Anolis sagrei: one gene and its partners. The protein of the gene in region 1 purifies or fractionates together with the protein of each later gene. This does not show direct contact. Links are inferred from orthologs where the notes say so. Each region holds a gene or a part of one and is shown on either strand. Other genes may lie near its edges. The genes, in order: KCNQ1, AKAP9 and NEDD4L.

Evidence for each region.
Region 2: the proteins of KCNQ1 (region 1) and AKAP9 purify together in Homo sapiens (affinity purification with western blotting; 3 studies listed by BioGRID and IntAct, with this or other methods). This does not show direct contact. The link is inferred for Anolis sagrei from reciprocal best matches to the Homo sapiens genes KCNQ1 and AKAP9.
Region 3: the proteins of KCNQ1 (region 1) and NEDD4L purify together in Homo sapiens (affinity purification with western blotting, with the first as the bait; 3 studies listed by BioGRID). This does not show direct contact. The link is inferred for Anolis sagrei from reciprocal best matches to the Homo sapiens genes KCNQ1 and NEDD4L.

Annotation. Positions count from the first base shown.
Region 1 is NC_090021.1:245,562,425-245,569,342, forward strand, and holds the start of KCNQ1 (potassium voltage-gated channel subfamily KQT member 1), read left to right. Parts: upstream 1-3,873; 5' UTR 3,874-3,928; coding exon 3,929-4,359; intron 4,360-6,918. UniProt on the Homo sapiens protein: Pore-forming subunit of the voltage-gated potassium (Kv) channel involved in the regulation of cardiomyocyte excitability and important in normal development and functions of myocardium, inner ear, stomach and colon.
Region 2 is NC_090026.1:102,885,768-102,893,615, reverse strand, and holds the start of AKAP9 (A-kinase anchor protein 9), read left to right. Parts: upstream 1-4,774; 5' UTR 4,775-4,891; intron 4,892-4,997; 5' UTR 4,998-5,002; coding exon 5,003-5,050; intron 5,051-7,848. UniProt on the Homo sapiens protein: Scaffolding protein that assembles several protein kinases and phosphatases on the centrosome and Golgi apparatus. Required to maintain the integrity of the Golgi apparatus. Required for microtubule nucleation at the cis-side of the Golgi apparatus.
Region 3 is NC_090022.1:282,591,623-282,598,667, reverse strand, and holds the start of NEDD4L (E3 ubiquitin-protein ligase NEDD4-like), read left to right. Parts: upstream 1-3,968; 5' UTR 3,969-4,156; coding exon 4,157-5,326; intron 5,327-7,045. UniProt on the Homo sapiens protein: E3 ubiquitin-protein ligase that mediates the polyubiquitination of lysine and cysteine residues on target proteins and is thereby implicated in the regulation of various signaling pathways including autophagy, innate immunity or DNA repair.

The DNA of each region.
Region 1 (6,918 bases):
TTACTTAACTAACCTTTCCTGGCATGACCACCATTCCAAACCATATTCACCCATGCAGAATGGGTCTTCTTCTTCCTATGCAGCTGATGTCAGGTAAAATAAGTTGGAGTGTGTGTTTGGGGGAGAGACACATTCAATTTGTCTGTTCTGCACAGTTTTTAAACAATCCCTGATCAATAGTGTCACAGTCATGACTAAAGAGTGATTGTAAATACGAAACAGTTATCTAGATTTACTCATCTGTAACAGTTCCTTCTCCACCATCAATTTCACTGGAGCAGCCATGTTGTCTAAATGCCTGTTTCCCAAAGCAGTTACCAAGTAAAATTTAAAACTGAATTGTTTCAGTTTTTTTGGTTATATCAATAATAATGCAAGTTTTATTTCTCCTCAATCATACATAGATACAGCTACTTTGACTGCAATCTTGTATCAGCTCCTCAATAAAGTTTACTTAACTAAGTAACCTTTCCTGGCATGACGACCATTCCAAACCATGGAACTACTGTATTTATGGATTGAAAGTATTAAAATGAATTTCCAGAAAGCAACCCTTGATTTTGCCATTTTATATAAGTGTATATAATGGGACCTTAATATTCACTGATTTTGTTATCCAGGTGTATGTTCAGCAGGTGGGGAGATGGAGGCTGGAACCAAACTCCAACAGGTACCAAGGCCCCCTCTACTTTAAATGGTAACTAAATAATGGAAATAATATACACTTTTCTAGTATATATTATCATACTTCAAATCATGTCATAATGTGCAATGTGTTGTGGCTGAGTATGATTGTCTTCCAGAGAGAGAGCCTTGACAGTGACTGTGAAGACCTATTCTGGATCCACGTGGTATTTCACAATGAGGACACAGATGTTCAGATAGAAGGTGATCATGAGAAGGATTTGCTTGACACTTCTCTTCTTTTTGTCCTGTATTGAGGGCCAGGGTTTCCCAATTCTCTGTGTTTATACCACATTTAGTTTAGCTTTAAGCTGATCTTTACATCTCTTTTGCTGTCCACCAACATTCTGTTTTCCATTCTTAAGTTGAGAATAACGTAATTGCTTTGGGAGATGGTGATCAGACATACCAAGGGCCTAAAAGGTAATGGTAAATGTTTCCCCTGACATTAAGTCTAGTCATGTCTGACTCTGGGGGGTGGTGCTCATCTCTATTTCTAAGCCAAAGAGCCAGCGTTGTCCATAGACACCTCCAAGGTCATGTGGCCAGCATGACAGCATGGAGCACTATTACCTTCTCACCGGAGAGGTACCTATTGATCTACTCACATTTGCATGTTTTTGAACTGCTAGGTTGGCAGAAGCTGGGCCTAACAGCAGGAGCTCACCCTGCTCCCCGGATTTGAACCACCAACCTTTTTGTCAGCAAGTTCAGTGGCTCAGCGGTTTAACATGCTGTGCCTCGGGGGAGGGGGGGCACCAAGGGCCTGGTGTACTTTAAAAGAGATCTTATATACACCAGAAAATGATGGCTAAATAATGGAAACAGAAATAATATATATATTTCTCTTACATATTGGACCACAAATCGTGTAGTACTATACACCCTATTTACTCAAATCTAATGCTCACCTTTTTTGTCTAAATGACCTTGTCAAAGTTAGGGTGTGCATGAGATTCGCATCATACTGTAATCTTAGTGCTATTCCTGCTTCTTGGCAGGGGGTTGGACTGGATGGCCCATGAGGTCTCTTCCAACTCTTTGATTCTATGATTCTATGCTGAGCCAAAGCCAAAGGGGAAGCTGCTTCACTATTTGAAATTTATATCTCAAATTTAATGGCCAGACTCAGACTCAATGTTTTGCCATCCTGGGATTTGTAGTTTGGCGAGGCACCTGCATTCTTTGGCAGAGAAGGCTCAAGACTTGAAAAACTTCACGCCCACCCCATGACTCCATGGCATTGAACCAAGATAATTAAAGTGCATTCATCCTGCAGCAGAGAATGTAGCATCCCAAGGTTTCCTTTCCATTGCTGGAAGTTTTGGTGTTCTAAAGGAGAATTCTAAGTAGGCACCAACTGTAAGGGGCAAATGACAAAGAGAGCACTTTTTGCTGCTGCACATGACCTTTGGCAGCAAATAATCCCCCCCCCCCCTTTTTTTATTTCAGGGTTTTGAAAATGGAAGTGTGCATTAGATCTGATGGTGCATTAGACTTGAGTAAATATGGTATAAGTTCACAACTTTTTTTTTGACAAGGGACCATTGACCAGGGACGACTCTGCAACATTAGTATCAACAGGGTTACGAATCAATCTTTGGTCAATTTTAGATTTGGTTTGGTTATTTGGGGTGCTGATTCAGAAAACTGCATTGGATAGGCTACATGAGCTCTAGTTTCTGATACAGAACATAGGCCATCCAGTAGTCACCATCTGCTCGCCCACAGAAAACCATAGTGAATAATCTAGAGCTGATGTGGTAGTAGTAATCTTTTGTGGGCAGTCAGCCTCTCCCCTCCCAAATTCCCATTGCCTTGACATTATAAGAGGGTTTCGCAAGACCAGTTGCTCTTGTTGCTGCAGGGTTTTGAGGCAACGGTGTAGTAATGGTGAAGCCAGAGACCATATTTTCGTTCTTGGTGGTCCACGGACCACAGGTTGGGAACTACTGGTATAAGATATATAGTATTTGGAATTGTTGCATTTATACAAAAGTTTTTCAAATATGATGTTTCAATGTCAGTTGTGTCAGCAGAAATGAATTCATGGTCACTATTGAGGACTTCCAATTCATTTATCCTATCAGGAGAGAACCAAGATTACAGAGGTAATGTATTTAAAAAACACAAAGGTTAAAAACTTGTCATGATACTAAATGTCCTTTGACCAATAGTGGGCCCCTTGGAGTGCCTCTGGTATTCCTATAAGAAGGTCCTCCGTTGTGCATGTGGCAGGGCTCAGGCTGCATTGAAATAGGTGGCCTGTGCTCCAGTAGCCTGCCAGGGTCCGGGGGCAGCAAGGGAGAGTCGCAATAACACCAAGAAGGCCACAGCAGCCTTCAGAGCACCTGCTGTCTGTGAACTTGCTGCCCGGTTGTGCCAAGCACCAGAGCCTTGTCAGGGAAAGAAGGAAGGAAGGAGGGAGGGAGGGAGGGAGAAGGAAAGGAGGAAGAAAGGAAAGAAAGGAAAGAAAGGAAAGAAAGGAAAGAAAGAAAGAAAGAAAGAAAGAGGGAGGGAGGGAGGAAGAAGGAAAGGAGAAAGAAAGGAAAGAAAGGAAAGAAAGAAAGAAAGAGGGAGGGAGGGAGGAAGAAGGAAAGGAGGAAGAAAGGAAAGAAAGAAAGAAAGAAAGAAAGAAAGAGGGAGAGAGAGAGAGAGAAAGAAAGAAGGAAGGAAGGAAGGAGTGAGGGAGAAGTAAAGGAGGAACAAAGGAAAGAAAGAAAGAAAGAAAGAAAGAGGGAGGGAGGGAGAAAGAAGGAAGGAAGGAAGGAAAGAGGGAGGGAGGGAGAAGGAAGGAAAGAAAGAAAGAAAGAAAGGAAAGAAGGAAGGAAGGAAGAGGGAAGGAGGGAGGAAGAAGAGAGGGGGGAGGAAAAAGGAAAGAGGGAGGGAGGGAGGAAGAGAGAAAGAAAGAAAGAAGGAAGGAGAAAGGAAGGAAGGAAGGAAGGAAAGGAGGGGAAGGGAAGGGAGAGGAGAAAGAAAAGAAAAGAAAAGAAAAGAAAAGAAAAGGAGGGCCGGTCTCCTTCCTCGGCAGTCCGCGCCGGGGCTCCTTGGGTGGCGACGGGCAGGAGGCATCGGGGCGGAGAGCGGGGCCCTTCCTTCCCCGGGGAGCCTCCCTCCCTCCCTCCCTCCCTCCCCTTGAGTGGGCCGGGCCAAGAAGGGCTCTCGGGCGGGCGGACGGGCAGGCAGGCGGCGAGAAAGGCCAGAGCGAAGGAGAGCAGCGCTGCCCCCGCCTGGCCTGGCCGCGATGCCTGCTTCCCCGCCGCCTTCGCCTTCTCCTTCCCCTTCCCCCGCGAAGGCGGAGCGGCGCCGCTGGACCCTGGAGCGCTTCTCGGTCCTCTCCAAGAAAGGCAGCCTCAAGCCCTCGGCGCTGGAGCTGGCCGAGAACGCCCCCGACGCCCGCTACGCGCCTTTCTCGCTCTCGGCGCCCGGCCCCCCGGCCCCGCGCAGCCCGCCAGGCGGAGGAGGAGGAGGAGGAGGATCAGGCGAAGAGGAGGCGGTGGCGGCGCGGGTGGTGATGAGCGCCGACTTCCCGCGCCCCTCGGTCAACCTGGACCCGCGCGTCTCCATCTACAGCGCCCGGCGCCCGCTCCTCAGCCGCAGCCACATCCAAGGACGGGTCTACAACTTCCTCGAGAGACCCACCGGGTGGAAGTGCTTCGTCTACCACTTCACCGTGTGAGTCAGCGGGGGGGGGGGGGGGGGGAAGGGGAAAGGGGGAGGGGAGCCCTTCGGAGTTAGAGTAGGACGAGAGGAGGGGAGGGGAAGGAAAGGCAGCGGGCACCATCTCTCGCAGGAGTGGGCTCCCTCCCACCCAGGGCGCTTTGCATCCTGCCCGGGATGCTGGGGGCTGCAGTCCGCTTCCCACGAGCCCGGCCCCGGCAAGCAGGCGGCTCTTCCTCCTCCTCCTCCTCCTCCCTTCCCCACACGAAGCAACCCGCCTCGGCTCTTCGGGTTGTCCTGCGCAACCTCGCACACCTTCTCTCCATCGCATGACAGCTCAAAGTTGCTGCTTTGGTGCACTTCTAAAACACGTCTAACTTGGTACTTTGTTGTGCCACGCGCATCCAACGCAAGGCCAAGGACCGAGCATCATTGGTATTTGGTCCACGAGGCTTCCAAGAAGAGGTCAACATAGTTCCATGTGTACAGTCTTGCAGTTGCAAGCAACCCTTTGAAGGCAACCGTAAGGCAGTTGTGGCCTTTGGTGAAAAGACCTTTGACACCCTTGATTTATTCTACTATCACCACTCCCTCCCCTTCAATAAAATTACTAGAGAGAGACACACACAAAGACAGAGAGGATAAATGCAGTTTGACAGGACTTGGACTGCCAGGAACCCAATGCTGTGGAATCATTTTACAAGGTCTGGAGCAGGCACGGGCAAACTTCGGCCCTCCTGGTGTTTTAGGCTTCAACTCCCACAATTCCTAACAGCTGGTAAGCTGGCTGGGATTTCTGGGAGGTGAAGTCCAAAACACCTGGAGGACCAAAGTTTTCCCATGCTTGTTCTGGAGTCTTCTCCACCAAAAAGCGCCAGAGCCTTCTCAACTTGCAACACCCAGGTTTCCATAGCACTGGGCCATGGCATTTAAAGTGGTTTTGAACTTCCTTCGTGGTACAGTCTATATGCACCCCAGGCGTCGCTAGAGTTTGCTTGGTTTAAACCCTAAGTCTCCCTGAGTCCCTATAAGATAGGGTATAGGTAAAGGTAAAAGTTTCCTCCTGACATTTAAGTCCAGTTGTGTCTTAATCTGGGGGGTGGTGCTCATCTCCATTTCTAAGCTGAAGAGCCAGCATTGTCCGTAGACACCTCCAAGGTTATGTGGCCAACATGACTGCATGGAATACCATTACTTTCCTACCAGAGTGATTGCTATTGATCTACTCACATTTGCATGTTTTTGAAATGTAGGTTGGCAGGAGCTGGGGCTAAAAATAGGAGCTCACTCCGCTCCCCAGATTCAAACTACCAACCTTTCAGTCAGCAAGTTCAGCAGCTCAGTGGTTTAACCTACTGCACTACTGGGGTATAGGTAATGCCACCAAATTAACAAGCAAACGGATAACTGCAATAGGCATGCTCATACTTGGGAGTCATTTCCGTTAGGTTCAGTGGAGGATGCAGCCAGCCCTCCGCATCCACAGATTCTGCATTCACAGATTAAACCATACATTTCTTTAAAATTCCCAAAAGCAAATGTTGATTTTGCCATTTTGTGCAGGGACACCCTCTTACTGTGCCATTGTACATAATGGGACTTGAGCATCCACAGATTTTGTTATCCATGGAACCAAACCCCAGTAGATACCAAGGGTTCACTAAACTTCTAGGAAAGAGTTTGTAGCATTTATTTGTTTGTTTAAGATATTTCTCCCTCTGCCTTTCTCTGCGGCTGGACCCAAAGCGGTTAAAAAGATAAAGGTTTCCCCTTGACATTAAGTCTAGTTGTGTCCAGCTCTGGGGGGTAATGCTCATCTCCATTTCTAAGTTGAAGAGGCAGCATTGTCCGTAGGCATCTCCTAGGTCATGTGGCCAGCATGACTGCAAGAAGTGCCATTACCTTCTCGCCAGAGTGGTGCCTATTGATCTACTCACGTTTGCATGTTTTCAAACTGCTAGGTCGGCAGAAGCTGGGCTTAACAGTGGAAGCTCACCATGCTCCCTGAATTCGAATCGCTGACCTTTTGATCAGCAAGGTAATCAGATCAGCAGTTTAACATGCTGCACCAAACCAAAGTGGTTTACAACATATGAAACACACAATATCAACAATAAAACATACAATAAACAAATTAAAACATACTTAAAATATACTGCAGGCGACGTATGTAACAATTCATTGTAAGATCCTCAGATGTGTTTGTCACACAGAAGTCTGTTTTCCCCTTTTTAGCTTGTGATGCCTGTCTTACAGAATATGCGTTTTTAGTAATCCCATCAGTATAAGACCTTGGGTGGAGGAACAGCTCTGTTGGGTAGCAGCTCTAGGTGTGTTTCCAGACAGGCCCCCTTGAACCATGTACCTGTTATGCCCAATGGAAAGTTCCGCTGTGGATTGCTCAGTGCTGAAGGTCTTGGAAAAGCTTTTTTTTTTTTTTTACTGCAACTCCCAGAAGACTTTTGGGGGGAAGTTGCAATCCAAAAAAGTAACATTCTTAAGGTCTGGATCTATTTGATGAGTTGCGCACATACTTCTTTGTGTGTGTTCCATTCATTCGTAATGTGATTAGGG
Region 2 (7,848 bases), on another chromosome or scaffold:
CACACATAAAGAGTCAAATCTATTTACATGTGCAGTTCGCATGCTATAGCCATGTCTTCTTAATTTGCTGAGCACAGGAATGCTAAATGTGTTGATGAATGCACTTAGCTTGCAAAATTATAATTTATCAAGTTATTACGATGTTTTCTTTTTCTGTTTTAGAAATAATATTAAATGGAATTGGAAAAAAAGAATGAATCACCTAGTAAATAGTTTTATACATGGGGCATGTGTGGAACACTTGCATGGTGAAATAAGTTCCCCATGACTGATATGGTATTACATTCGTTTTGGCCGCCATAAGTTTCATCTTAGAGAAAACTTAACATCCACAGTCAATACTTTATAGTGCCTGTCAGCACTTTTTGCTTATTTCCCACCCACTTTTCCTGTCATTCATGGAGAGCTCTTTCAGTCCTAATGCATAATTTACAAAATCGCCTTCCTTATTCATTCTTTTTCTATCCTCTTTGCTCTTTGTCCATTCTGTTTCTTCTGTCTAGCGTTCCCTGAATGACCTACATTTCAAAGTCTGCATACTCTAGCCTGTTCTTTATCTCCCATGCTTCTTTATCTTCCTGCTCCTTAGCCTTTCTGCCTTCAGACCCTCTTTATCCTCTTTTTTTCGGATCCAAACAGCAACGTAATATTTTTATTTATTTTATTCATTATTTACTTTGTTTTATCTTGCCTTTTTCCCAATATAGGGACTCAAGTCAGGGCTTGGAACTTCTTGATTAGCAGAGACAATGATATATTTTAATTTTTCTCGTAATTCCTTCTAAGCTGAGCTGCTATCTTCCAAATGGCTAGAGCAAAAGAGCTTCTCCAACAACATATTGTCAGGTCCTTATGCTTTAATTTAGTGTGTTGATATGTACACAAGGGGCCACGGTGGTGCAGTGGGTTAAACCACTAAGCTGCAAAACTTGCTGATCAGAAGGTCAGTGGTCTGAATCCGTGAAAAGGGTGAGCTTCCGTTGTTAGCACCAACTTCTGCCAAACGAACAGTTTGAAAACATGCAAATGTGAGTAGATCAATAGGTACTGCTTCGGTGGGAAGGTAACGGCGCTCCATGCAGTCATGCTGGCCACATGACCTAGGAGGTGTCTATGGACAACACTGGCTCTTTGGCTGAGAAATGGAGATGAGTACAACCCCCCAGAGTCGGATACGACTGGACTTAATGTCAAGGAGAAACCTTTACTTTTACATGTACTCAAATATGCATACATATATCATAGAGGTGTGGAAAGCAATGGACACAACTGTATGAATTTTGGACCCCCTGGCAATGGGCATTTTGATCATCATGTGATGGAGGTTTATTTATTTATTTATTTACAACATTTATATGCCGCCCTTCTCACCCCGAAGGGGACTCAGAGCGGCTTACAAGGTATATATTACATACAATATTATATTATTAGCATAGTACAATATCAGCATTAAACATAGCTATATTGCACCATACTACTATAACATAATATTATTAGTAATATTACACATATTAATATATAATTATAATATCATATTGTTATTATATTGAATTACATTATAATATTATAAATATTATATGTATATACAATATATTATATTATATTATATTATATTATATTATATTATATTATATTATATTATATTATATTATTAGGATAGCACTGCACTTCTAGACATAGGCCTCTAGGCAAACTTTTCAATTCCCTTTCAGAATCTCATTTTCTGAGCAAACAAAATAATCAGAAATATTTCACAGCCAATAAATGTGAATTGTAAGTGTAAAATTAAATCTTGCTCCTCTGAAAATGGGACAGTTTTGAAAACTTAAAATAACAGCAAAAGTGTATTATTCTGTTTTAGATATTGATTTTACTTTATTTATCTGTGTGCAAGAGGGATATTCTCCTCCAAGTAAACAGATAGTAACCAAAGGAGATATTCTCCTCCAAGTAAACAGATAGTAACCAATAGTAACCAATTTTATAAAGGGGATATAGATTGCTCCTTCAATTAAAACAGAAAGTGTTTCTATAAATGATTCAAACAAAGGTTCTTGTGCAATCATTTAAAATTCATTCTAATGACAGTAATTCAATCCCATTAATTTAACAGGCTAATCTTCTGCAAAATTAAGCACACTTAGTCACTGAATTAATTGGCTTCATAAGATCAGGTTGTGATTCACACAAACCGTGGGTTTTATTTATCGATTGAACAAATTAATTAAGGACCTTTACTTATAGACCATCTTTCAGGGCCTCAATAGATTGGTATTACTAGGAAAATAGTTTTGCAGAACGGCAAACATAACTTTTCATTTGAAAAGTGATTCAAAATCATGAGCAACAAATAACTTGGTATTATTATTGCCACATCCTCATAACAACAAGCGGCCTTGTAGCTCTTTGAAAACTAAAACAATTATTATGGTACAGATTTTAATGAAAAAAGATGCCCTATAGTTCACCAAATGTTGTGCCATTAACATTGGTATTTATAGAGCCACAATAATCTTTGTTTGTTTTGTTCTAAGAGAATAAGATGGCCAGTGTTCTAGAAAATGTCACAGTTCACAGACGAAGGAACTTGACTGCGATGAACAGTCTGAAGCCACATTATCCTATTGCAAGTTTTGCAAGTCCTTGAGTACATCACAGTGTAGAATTAATGCAGTTTAATACCACTTTAACTGCCATGGCTCAATGCTGAGCCACGGCAGCAGTGTGTGCAAGTCATGTCAGAGTGCATTAATTCTACAATGTAGTGCGAACTTTGGCAAAACCTCAATTTCCAGGATGTTACCCTTGGTAACACCTTTATATGCTTTTATGGTTTTAACTTGAATTGTTTTAAATACCAATGACATTTAATACTGCTTTAATGCCTTATATTGTATATTTTAAATTGTATTGTGATACTTTTAATTGTGAGGTGGTCCCAGTGGTGATCGGCACATTGGGTGCAGTGCCTAAAGACCTTGGCCTGCACTTAAACACAACTGGCGCTGACAAAATTACCATCTGCCAGCTGCAAAAGGCCACCTTACTGGGATCTGCATGCATTACTCGCCGATACATCACACAGTCCTAGACACTTGGGAAATGTCCGACGTGTGATTCAATATAACAACCAGCAAAGTTATCTTGTTTGCTGTGGACTCGTCTTGTTGTGTTTCTAATAATAATAATAATAATAATATACAACTCCAGCTCCCTTGGTAAAACTAGAACTCTTGTGGCAGTTAAAAGAGTATCAAAGTGCATTCACTCTACAGTGCAGCGGCACCCTTAGTAAAACTATAACTCCTAGGATGGTAAAACTTTGTAAAACTATGGAACAGTACCAAATTAGAACTCTCGTGGAAGTTAAAGGGGTGTCAAAGGGCATTCACTCTACAGTGTAGAAGCCCTCTTAGTAAAACTACAACTCTCATGTTATCCTTGGAAAAAACTATAACTCCCAGGTGAAGCCACAGCTCTCTTGGTAAAAAGATGCAATAGTACCAAACTTGAACTCTCTTGGCCGTTACAGGGATGGCAAAGTGCATGGATTCTACAGTGTAGAGGCACCCTTAGTAAAACTACAACTCCCAGGATGTTATCCTTGGCAAAAACTACAACTCCCAGGCAAAGTCACAGCTCCTTTGATAAAACAATACCAAACAAGAACTCTCATGGAAGTTAAAGGAGTGTCAAAAGTCTACAGTGTAGAAGTGCTCTTAGTAAAACTACGACTCCCATGTTATCCTTGGAAAAAACTACAACTTCCAAGTAAAGCCACAGCTTTCTTGGTAAAACTAAGGAACAGTACTAAACTAGAACTCTTGTGGGAGTTAAAGGGGTGTCAAAGTGCATTCACTCGACAGTGTAGAGGCACCCTTAGTAAAACTACAACTCCCAGGATGTTATCCTTGGCAAAAACTACAACTCCCAGGCAAAGTCACAGCTTTCTTGGTAAAACTAAGGAACAGTACTAAACAAGAACTCTCATGGAAGTTAAAGGAGTGTCAAAGGGCATTCACTCTACAGTGTAGAAGCGCACTTAGTAAAACTACAACTCCCATGTTATCCTTGGGGGGGAAAACTATAACTCCCAGGAAAAGTCACAGCTCCTTTGATAAAACAGTCTCATGGAAGTTAAAGGAGTGTCAAAGGGCATTCGCTCTACAGTGTAGAAGCGGTCTTAGTAAAATTACAACTCCCATGTTATCCTTGGGGGAAAAAACTATAACTCCCAGGTAAAGCCACAGCTCTCTTGGTAAAACGATGGAAGAATACTAAATTAGAACTCTCTTGGCAGTTACAGGGGTGTCGAAGTGCATGCATTCTAGTGAAGAGGCGCCCTTAGTAAAACTACAGCTCCCAGGATGTTATCCTTGGCCAAACTACAACTTCTAAGTAAAGCTACTGCTCTCATGGTAAAACTATGGAACAGTACCAAACTAGAACTCTCTTGACAGTAACAGGGGTGTCAAAATACAGTGCAGAAGCGTCCTTAGTAAAACTACAACTCCCATTACACCACAACACTGAGCCATGGCGGTGTTAAAGCGGTGTCAAACTGCGTGACACCGAAAATAAACCCAAGGTTAAAGAAAAGCCACCCTGGGGGTCTGCCAAGGGACGCGAAGCTCTTTAAGGCGGTGCTATGGCAACGGCTGTCCCCGTTGCCGCGCTCCCTCCCGCCGCTCGGAGGAACAGCCTCCCTTCAGGTGGGCAGCGAACGGGAGGCGTTTGGGGGCGGGGCTGGGCCCGTGACGTCACTTTCCCCGGCCGCGTGTTTACGTGGAGGCGAAGATGGCGGCGCCGGTGGGTCCGCCACAGAGCTTGCTCTTCTCCTCGTAGCCGGGCAGAGCTGGCCTCTCTCGCGTGTGACTGCGGGGGGAGACGGGTAAAGAAAAGACGCTCGTTTTGGGGCCCTCAGGGCCACTTCCTCCCTTTACGGCTTTGGTCATAATCATAATAAACACTGTGGTCTCTCTCTTTTCCCGCCTCAGGGACCATGGAGGACGAGGAGAGGCAGAAGAAGCTGGAGGCTGGCAAGGCCAAGGTAAGGACTGGAGGCGGAGGAGAGGAAGGCCTGAAGCGACTTTGGAGGATCAGTACAGTTTGACAGAGCTTTAACTGTCATGACCCAGTGTTGTGGAAGGATGTCAGGCAGGCATGGGCAAACTTGGGCCCTCCAGGTGTTTTGGACTTCAACTCCCACCATTCCTAACAGCCTCAGGCCCTTTCCTTTTCCCCCTCAGCCGCTTAAGCGGCTTAAGCGGCTGAGGGGGGAAAGGAAGGGGCCTGAGGCTGTTAGGAATGGTGGGAGTTGAAGTCCAAAACACCTGGAGGGCCCAAGTTTGCCCATGCCTGATATTGCAAAATTATAACACCACATTTCTCTAGTATGGTAACATGGCAATTGAAGTGTTAAACTGCATTATTTCTCCAGTGCAGATGCATCCTCGATACCTAGGAAGAGAGGAGAGGGTCAAGGTTACCGGTCCATGTAATATAATGATTGCATTCTGACACCAGTTTAACTCAGTGCTGTGGGAATTTGGAAGTTGTAGTTCGATCGTAGAATTATAGAGTTGGAAGAGATCTCATGGGCCATCTCGTCCAACCCCCTGCCAAGAAGCAGTAAAATTAATTCAAAGCACCTCCAACAGATGGAATCATAGAGTTGGAAGAGACCTCATCCCGTCCAACCTCCTTCCAAGAAGCAGGAAAATTCATTCAAAAACACCTCCAACAGATAGAATCATAGAGTTGGAAGAGACCTCATCCCGTCCAACCTCCTTCCAAGAAGCAGTAAAATTCATTCCAAACACCTCCAAAAGATAGAATCATAGAGTTGGAAGAGACCTCATCCCGTCCAACCTCCTTCCAAGAAGCAGTAAAATTCATTCAAAATACCTCCAAAAGATAGAATCATAGAGTTGGAAGAGACCCCATCCAGTCCAACCCCCTGCCAAGAAGCAGGAATATTGCATTTAAAGCACTCCTAACAGATGGCCATCTAGCCTCTGTTTAAAAACCTCCAAAGAAGGAGCATCCACCACACTCCGGGGCAGAGAGTACCACTGCTGAACAGCTCTCACAGTCAGGAAGTTCTTCCTAATGTTCAGATGGAATCTCCTTTCTTGTAGTTTGAAGCCATTGTTCCGCGTCCTAGTCTCCAGGGCAGCAGATAACAAGCTTGCTCCCTCCTCCCTGTGACTTTCTCTCACATATTTATACATGGCTATCATGTCTCCTCTCAGCTTTCTCTTAAGGCTAAACATGCCCAGGTCTTTAAGCCGCTCCGCTCCTCATAGGGCTTGTTCTCCAGACCCTTGATCATTTTAGTCTCCGATCCTTAGCCTTTTCTGTCAAAGGGGGCTGATGCCTCACCAAACTACACATCCTAAAATTCCATAGCATTAAGTTAAACTTCTGTCAAAATGCCTTCATTCTATGGTGTAGATCAGGCATGGGCAAACTTTGGCCCTGCAAGTGTTTTGGACTCCAACTTCCACAATTCCTAACAGTCTACCAGCTGTGGGAGTTAGAGTCCAAAACATCTGGAGGGCTGAAGTTTGTCTATATCTGGTGTAGCTGCATCCATAGCTCTGAGAATTGTTTCACTGCAAAATTGAGTCATGACATTTAAAACATTTATATTGGGTTTTGTAGGAATTTGAGGTTCAGAGTCCCCTCAAATGATCTTAGGTTTGTGACATTATGTATAAGCTTATTCCATACACAACTTGCTTTGATATACCTATGTTGCCAGCTGGAGTTACGATAGTATTGAATTTTCTTCTCCCCACAAGTTGTTTGGGTTTTTTCATTGTCATCTGGGACTGACACCTGTAAAAGAAACCTGTGGTGCGGCATTTTGGTGTTTCTTTTATGACAGGATTGTGACTGGTGTTGAAATTTGTGGACAAAGTGTTGGGTGGTATGACGTTTTGATTGCATTTTTATTTTTGTTTGAGCTGTGACTAAATGTTGTTGAAATTTGTAACAAGACGTCTCATGTGATATGGCATTGTTATTGTATTTTTCTAACTCATCACCCCAAAAATATATCAATATTTGTGAAGGGGGAGTTTTTTCCCCATTGTAGACCTGTGTTATTGTAGGAGGGAGAGAGGCGTGCCTTGGCATCTTTCCCGTGCTGCGCTTTCTTTGTTTGGGGCTCTTTCTTTGTGCGTATATGCTGGAGGTGGTGGTAATGCTAATCGGTATACCGGGGTCCACCTTCTCATGAAAATGAAAAGCTGCAGAACAAGGCGCTTGCTTACTTGCCTGTATGTGTTGTAATGCGATTGGCTCTTGACAGCTGTTGCTGCTGGACAGAGACACAAGTGCATGCCTTGAAAATGCCACAGGTGCCAACTGGTGGCGGTGATTCTTCTTATTGCAGAATCAGACAATCTGATTAAGAGATCTTTAAAAGGCTTCTTGGAGGTGAAAAAGACTTCTTGGAGGTCGCATGTGTGCATAGCTCTCACAGGAATGAATGGTATTAAGAATGTATGAATCTCAGCCTTCTCAGGCATTGGAGCAGAAGTGCAATGCAGTCAGAATAAAACAGCAATGCAGACAGCATAGTTAGAAACACTATAGGCCAAAAGTAACACAATTCTAAGAAATGCAGTGTGAGATTTGCCACCATGCAAGTTCTCCTCCACACAATGGGCTGTCAGGCATGCCTGCGGCACCACCCCCAGCCCTTGTACCACGTGATATAGAAGCAGACTAACATTTGTATATCTGATTCTTGTGATCCACCCCCCTCAGTTAAGGGATAGAATCTATTTGTAGACACCTTGTGTCATACATTATAGTATATTTGATACTTAATGGGTT
Region 3 (7,045 bases), on another chromosome or scaffold:
CAAATAGATAGATAGATATTCAGGTTGCGGGAAGTATGATGATTCTTTGTACCAGGGCTTAAAAGAGACTAGGAGGACAAAACAAGACTCTTAGAAAGTATGAAGGGCTCTTTTGGGGAATGTTTAAACAAAACAGGGTGATCTTAGGAGATGCAATACTTATTATGGGATGTGTGTTGGTGCGGGTGGCTCTTTGAGGTTTGGAGGGAGGCATAGACTGCTACTATTTTGTTTTTCCAGAAAATGTTCACAATGGTAGCAAATGGTTTAAAAACATATCAATCAAATCCGCAAATAGTGAAACCCAAGAAAGTTAAATCAAAAAGTGTGGTGGGCTGACTGTACCTTCATAACAGCAGAAAAAACATGCAGGCCATGGTTTAGAAGTGTAGAGCTTCCCTGCCCATTGCATATAAATTTGCATTGTGAGACAAAATATTGAACAGTTTGTGTCCATAAATCATTTTAAAAAGAATTCTTCTCTTTTGTCTTGTAGGTAAATCCGTCTAACCACAGACTGCTTTTTGAAGTATTTGATGAAAACAGATTGGTAAGTATTCTCTTCTATATTTTGTTGTTGTGTTGTTTCTATGTTTGTTCAATTCAACCCAATCCTGAGGTTTTTTGGAAAGATTTATTCAGAGGAAATCCACAATTTATTTCCTCTTGGGTTGAGAGAATATGACTTTTTCCAGATCACCCCTGGGGTTTCCTTAACTCAACGAGGACTTGAATCCTGGCCTCCCAGAGTCTTAGTCCAAACTACTACATCACACTGGCTTATGTCTGTTTGTTATATTCATGTAAAAAATGAATGTTTCTTTCTGTGGCATATTATAAAGAGTTTTTTTCAATTTTGATTATGAGAAGTTAGTCAATTTTTCCCCAAAAGAAAAAAAAATAAGGAAGCATGAAAATTGTTTAATAAGTAGGCTTGCAAATAGTTCTGAGTTCTTCTTAGAAATGCTGCATGTGAGGTGTTTGGACATTATGGTTCATAGGGTTGTGAGTTTTCTGGGATGTTTGACCATGTTCCAGAAGCATTTTTTCTGGAAGTTTCTCCCAAATCTATGGCAGGCATCCTCAGAGTTTGTGAAGCTTCACAACCTCTGACTTCACAACCTCTGAGAATGCCTGCCATAGAAGTGGGCGAAACATCAGGAGAGAATGCTTCTGGAACATGGCCATACAGCCCAGAAAACTCACGGTAACCCAGTGATTCTGGCCATAAAACCTTTGACAACACATTATTGTTCATCTTTGTGCTCCCAAGATGCAGTTGTAGAAGCCCCCCTCATGTGGCTGCTTGAGACATCCACCTGAGATGGAACCAGTGACAGCCCTCAACTGATTCTCCTGAGTTCCCCATTACTTAGAACAGGGGTTCTCAAACTGTGCTTCTCCAGATGTCATGGACTTCAGTTCCCACAATTCCTAACAGCTGGTAAACTGGCTGAGATTTCTGGGAGCTGAAGTCCAAAACACCTGGAGAAACACTGCTTTAGGGGATAGCTCTGTGTGACACAGATCCCTGTCTTTCACTTGCTAAACTACAATGTGGTAGTGATGTGATCCTGTCATATTCCCAGGACTAAAGTAAAACTGCTAGTTGATTTGTACACAGAATGGAAGCACGTGAATTGCACTGGGCTGACTGCCCACCTCATCCCCCTATGCTCACTGCTGTCATTGAGTGACTGAACATTAGTTGAAGTTTTAAATAGCATATAACTAATAATCATGGAGTTAGAAGAGACCATAAAGGCCATCCAGTCCAACCCCCTGCCAGATAAGAACACACAAAGCACCCCCAAACTTAATCCTATGTCTGCCCAACTTTTGTCACAAATAACTACCAAATTGGAAAGCAAGTGTGGTATTGTGGTTTGAGTGTTGGACTGTGAGACTGTGAGATTGGCATTTGATTCCCTGCTCCGCCATGGAAACCCACCATATGACCTTGTGCGAGTCCTACCTCTCAGCCTTAGAGAAAGCCTTAGAGAAAGGCAAGAGAAAACACTCTGTGAGTAACTTCTGCCAAGAACACTACATGTTAGGATCACTTTAGAGTTGCCATAACTTAGAAATCACTTGAATAAACAGAATAACAAGGTTGGTGCTAGGGTTTGAGTAAGATATACCACAACCTCCCTTCAGGATAGACATTTTTGTATACTACGGTTGCTCTGGGATATCTTTACTGTCTTTCCACTGAATTGAATATTAACGTCTTTGAAAATGAATGAAGCCTTGTGTGGATAAACTGGAGTGTTCATCAAACGTCAACTTATGGTCTGACCCCTCTTTTTTCCAAGCATTGTTTTTCTGTCAAAGTAAGGGTTGCTTGTTCGTATAATATGGAAATAGGCTCCAAAGTCTGAAAACTGTGTTAAAATAATGCTGGAGGAACCTCCAGACTAATACTTACTTATTATTATAATTATTACTGTTTAGCAAATAATAATGGCTCCCCCACCTTCGTATTTTGTTTTGTTGTTTCTTGCCACCTATTAATAATAATAATAATAATAATAATAATAATAATAAACTTTATTTATATATCACTCTATCTCTTCTAAGGGACTCAGGGCGGTTTCCAAATAGCAAAACACCAACATACAGAGTACGCAAAACATAAGCGTAGAATTCTCAAAACAACACAAATACATTAAAAACCAATCCCAAAAACACAATAGGGGTTTGCACTAGCCTTCGACTGTCAGTGCTGTTCCCCTTTCCCCTTTGTAATTAGAGCTGTTTTATTTCTCTGTCTGAAAACAAGTTGCTAGAAAACCGAGGCTGAAATGTCTATGATGTGACTCAGACCCGACACCTGTATAAGATTTCTTTTCCCCTTTAGCTCTATGAAGCTTTCATTTACAAAGGCAGTTGTTGTACTTGCCTCCTGACAGTACTGTTTGGTTTCATTGCCTTGCCTTTAAATTCATTCTTGAAGGAGTGTTTTCAGTTGTACTTCAGCCATACCTCCCCTCCTTATTATTTAAACTACCACACAGAGCAGAGCCGAATTCGGGCATTGTTTAATTTTGGGTTTCAGACTGCCTGTTAGTTCTTCTGATGCTTTTGGCTCCTAATAAAGCAGAGCTCTGTTCCATTCTGGCAACCCAAGCTACTAATATTGCTAAACTTTCTCACTGGAGTTTTGCCAGCGCTGGGCAGCGTTTATGTACGGTGTTTAAGTCAGATCTGTACAGCTCTTCATGCACACCCTGTTCCAGATTTTACTTGCCTTCTCAACCTCTTAAAAACTGGGAAAGAGAGACTGTTGCTTGCTACTGGCTGCTTCTTGAATTGTGCGTGTAAGAGTTTTTTCTCTCTGTTTTTTTTCCTCCCCAAAAAGATCTTACTGTAGCCAAAGTGGGTTATTATAGTCCGTTTATGGTGGCAATATGATATCTGTGTCTTTCACTTCAGGAACGTATTGCTGCTTAAATTGCTTCAGGCATAAAGAGAGAAATATGCGGTTTCTAGCGTTCTCTGATAAGTATTTGCAGTAGTCTGAAGTTTGCAGCCAACTTTAAACAAACAAAATTTCAGTTTCTCTCTCTCTGCCTTTGCCCAGCCATTTTTTCCCTTGGTGATTCCCGATCTGCATGAACATATTAAGTGGATTTATTTTTCACGGAGGGAGGGAGAGGTCTTGTGTGGCTTCCCCCACTTGTCTTTCTTTTTCTTTTGGCTTAGAACAGAAATGTTCCGTGAATATGATGCAGTTTAGATTTATAGCGGAGTCGAGTGTGTTTGCTGCCTTAGTCAGCTGTGAGAGATCTCCCGCTGGGGCCGCTCCTTTTCTGATGGAAAAGGAACAGCTGTGAAGGTGCTGTTTCAGGCTATTGCTGGTATTAAAGTGAAAAAAATAGTTGCTTGCATTGGAGAGGGGGAAATGGGTCATGTGATGCCAGCCATCCTACCCTATGTCACAGTTTGGAGGAGCACCGATTGCTCTTATCCAATCATGCCTGGAATGCTGCTGGCCACTTGGGCTATTTCTGCTGCCTGTCTCTATCGGTGCAGTAGTGCTAACAGTTTGGCAGATGGGACACTTTTTCTTGGAGTTTATGTCTTTAGTTCTTAATTTCTGGCAGTGCCTGGACTCGTCGCTGTCTCCCCCTCCCCTCTCCTTTCTCCTGAAACCATGGCCCATCGGCTGCGGTTTCATTTTGGCTCCGGACGAAGCAACACCGCTCCTGAGTCGGGGATCCTTGACCGTGAGAGAGAAGAGGATGACTTTTTCATGGCATGCCACACTTTGCCCAGAAGGAATGGGCCTCATACTTTCTCAAGGCGAAGGGCTGAGTGTGGAGATAACCACAGGGATTTGCGGGAAGCCGGTTCCTTGAAGAGGAGCACCTCTATGTTTATTCCTCAGCTTCTCAACAGCATAGATGCCCGGCCCACCAGGAGCTCTTCTGTGCAGATTTCACTCCAGCGCAAGGCTGTCAATGGGCATGCTGATGAATGCGAGGGCACGGAATCCCCCCCAGAAGACATGGGGGATTTTTCAGATTTAGGGGAGCATTGCACATCTCTTGATGGAAGCCATTCTTCTTCTAACAGTCAGCAGGTCACCCCAGACAACTCTCCACCCAGGCAAGCGGAGAACCCAGAGTATGAGATTAACGGAGAGCCATCTAATCACAGGATATTTTGTACCATCCCTTCCAATAACTGGACTGACAATGGTGCAGCCACTGGCCAGGACCACGAAGCAAGCAAAACCGGATTAGGCTTAAACATTGGCAGGGTAAGGATTCAGCATCGGGCTTCGAGCGTAGACGTGCCTCATGTTACGCTAATGCCCTTTGACTCAGAGGCGCCAAACAATGCTTCGGCCTCAGAACCCAGGCGCTGGTCTTTGCAACATTTGCCAGAAGGCTCTACCAATTCAGGAAAGAAATTCTTTGTTTTCCAATTGCAGCAGCCCCCGGCAAATAGCACAGGGACAGACTACAATTTTGGTTTCACGGGAACGAAAGGGGATCGGTTGGTTAGGTATCCACGAATACGTCTGGAGAGGAGTACCTCATATCCAGTTCACCCACAGCCAGAACGCATTAGCCCCATGGAGGGTGAAAGTGTGAATTCAACACTTCACGGAAATAGCAGGAATGGCACTGAAAAATCCAGAGGCAATCCAGTGGAGCGGGTTTCTCCAGGGCAAGGATGCATGTTTAAAATCCATCCAGATCAAAACTCAAGGCAGCAGCATTTCAGAATTCTTGTAACTCGTGGGATTAATGAGAAAGGTCAAAGTTCTGGATCAGAGAATTCAACTGGTTCTGCTCCTGTTGCAACCAATTCATCAGTAAGTAAATGTTAACGAAGTGGTAATTTAAGTTTTCACTTAGATTGTTTTGAGTCAGGGGATAAGGGGAATGGAAACTCAGATGCTTCGTGCAGGTCACATAGTTGTGAAATATCATATAGCAATGTTAGAAAGACCTACAATCTTCCAGAACAATCTGAAAGCATCTATGTTTTGTTAGGCTAAAGTAGCTTTCAGTTATGACTACTTCCAGTGCAATGTTTTCAGGTCTTCTGGTGACTCATGAGTTACTTAATTCATTGCTACGTTGTCAAATACAGTTCGGTAGTTATGTGTGTGTATATAATACTCTGCCCATTTTGCCTTATTTCTATGCTTTTAAAAAAAGTCCTATAATCTTTAAAATCTCAAGTGATATATACATTTATGCCAAACATACTATGTATACCTCGTTAAAAGTTAAGGATCAAAAGCTGTTTTTCAAAAATATTAGCGCAGTTTTAGTGTCTTTTTGTTTAATTGCTTATAAATGTGAAAAAGTAGTCATGGAATCCCAAACGTTTTGATTTGTTAATTTCAGTTTTGGTTATACTACTATTTTCGTCATTAGCCTTAACAAATTAGGTATATTTCATATTCTACAAACAATAGGCATAGTTTTTTTTCACAGAAGGATATATAATAAACGAATGCCAAAGTTGTATTTTTTAAAATTGTGCTTTGTTGTTGCTTGAATGCCACTAGTCTCTTACATGTTCCAGCTCCATATGAAAACAAACAAAAGAGATGTTTTTGGCCCGTATCGCTTCCGCCTGTGTAATCATGGCATATATTGCAGTTCGATGCTGGAAGGCAGCATCTAACTGTGGGAAGGCATTGTGATGGTTGCTGCGTAATACAAAAAGACTTTTATTCTACCCAGTTTAACTTATCGATATATACCTATTATATCACTGAGAAGATTATAGATGCCTAGCACCAATTGCATTCCAGATAAGGGAATCAGGTTCATAAAGACATTGTTCTTTTCTTTTAGGCATCATTGTGTCAGTATTGTGTGCTATTTTTCTTTCACTGTTAGTGTAGGAAAAATCACTCTAAAATTTCCAGATTGAGAGGAAACAGAAAAGACATGCATTCCAGCAGACATTTAATTCTGCTGAGTTTTTACTCTCTTTACCACATACATCCCTCTGGTTTTATTTTGGACATATTGAAATGACATTAAATGGTTTGAGGTTATTTTGTTCCCTTAATTTCTGGTATTTGAATTTTTAAAGCTGTAAAGGTTTCTTATTTGAAGAATCTATACGATTTTTTGGGGAGCTGCTTAAGCTGAGATGCAAATCAAAAATGCATATGTGAGTTTTAGCTGCCACTGAAGGGGACTGGAAGAGGCAAAAGATACAGTATGTGCCAAATGGTGTTAACTCTTCTACAAACTGTTCATGTTGGTGCGTGTGTCTTTTATTGAGTACTAAATTCACATTAAGGCAGTGAATGAGCAAGTTCCCCTATGAGCTCTTTTGACACTCTTAAAAATGTGGGGGTTCGGTATATATTTTCTATACTGTCCAAGATGGTTAAATGAATATCTTCCCTCATATTGAGAGCTCAGAGAAAACCTATTATTGGGTTTTTGCATGGCCAAACCCAATAATGGACTCAGTTTAGAATAAGATCAGAAATGTGCAACCAGGGGACTAGGAGTGACAACTTTTGCAATATTACATTACTACACATAGATATATCACCAGC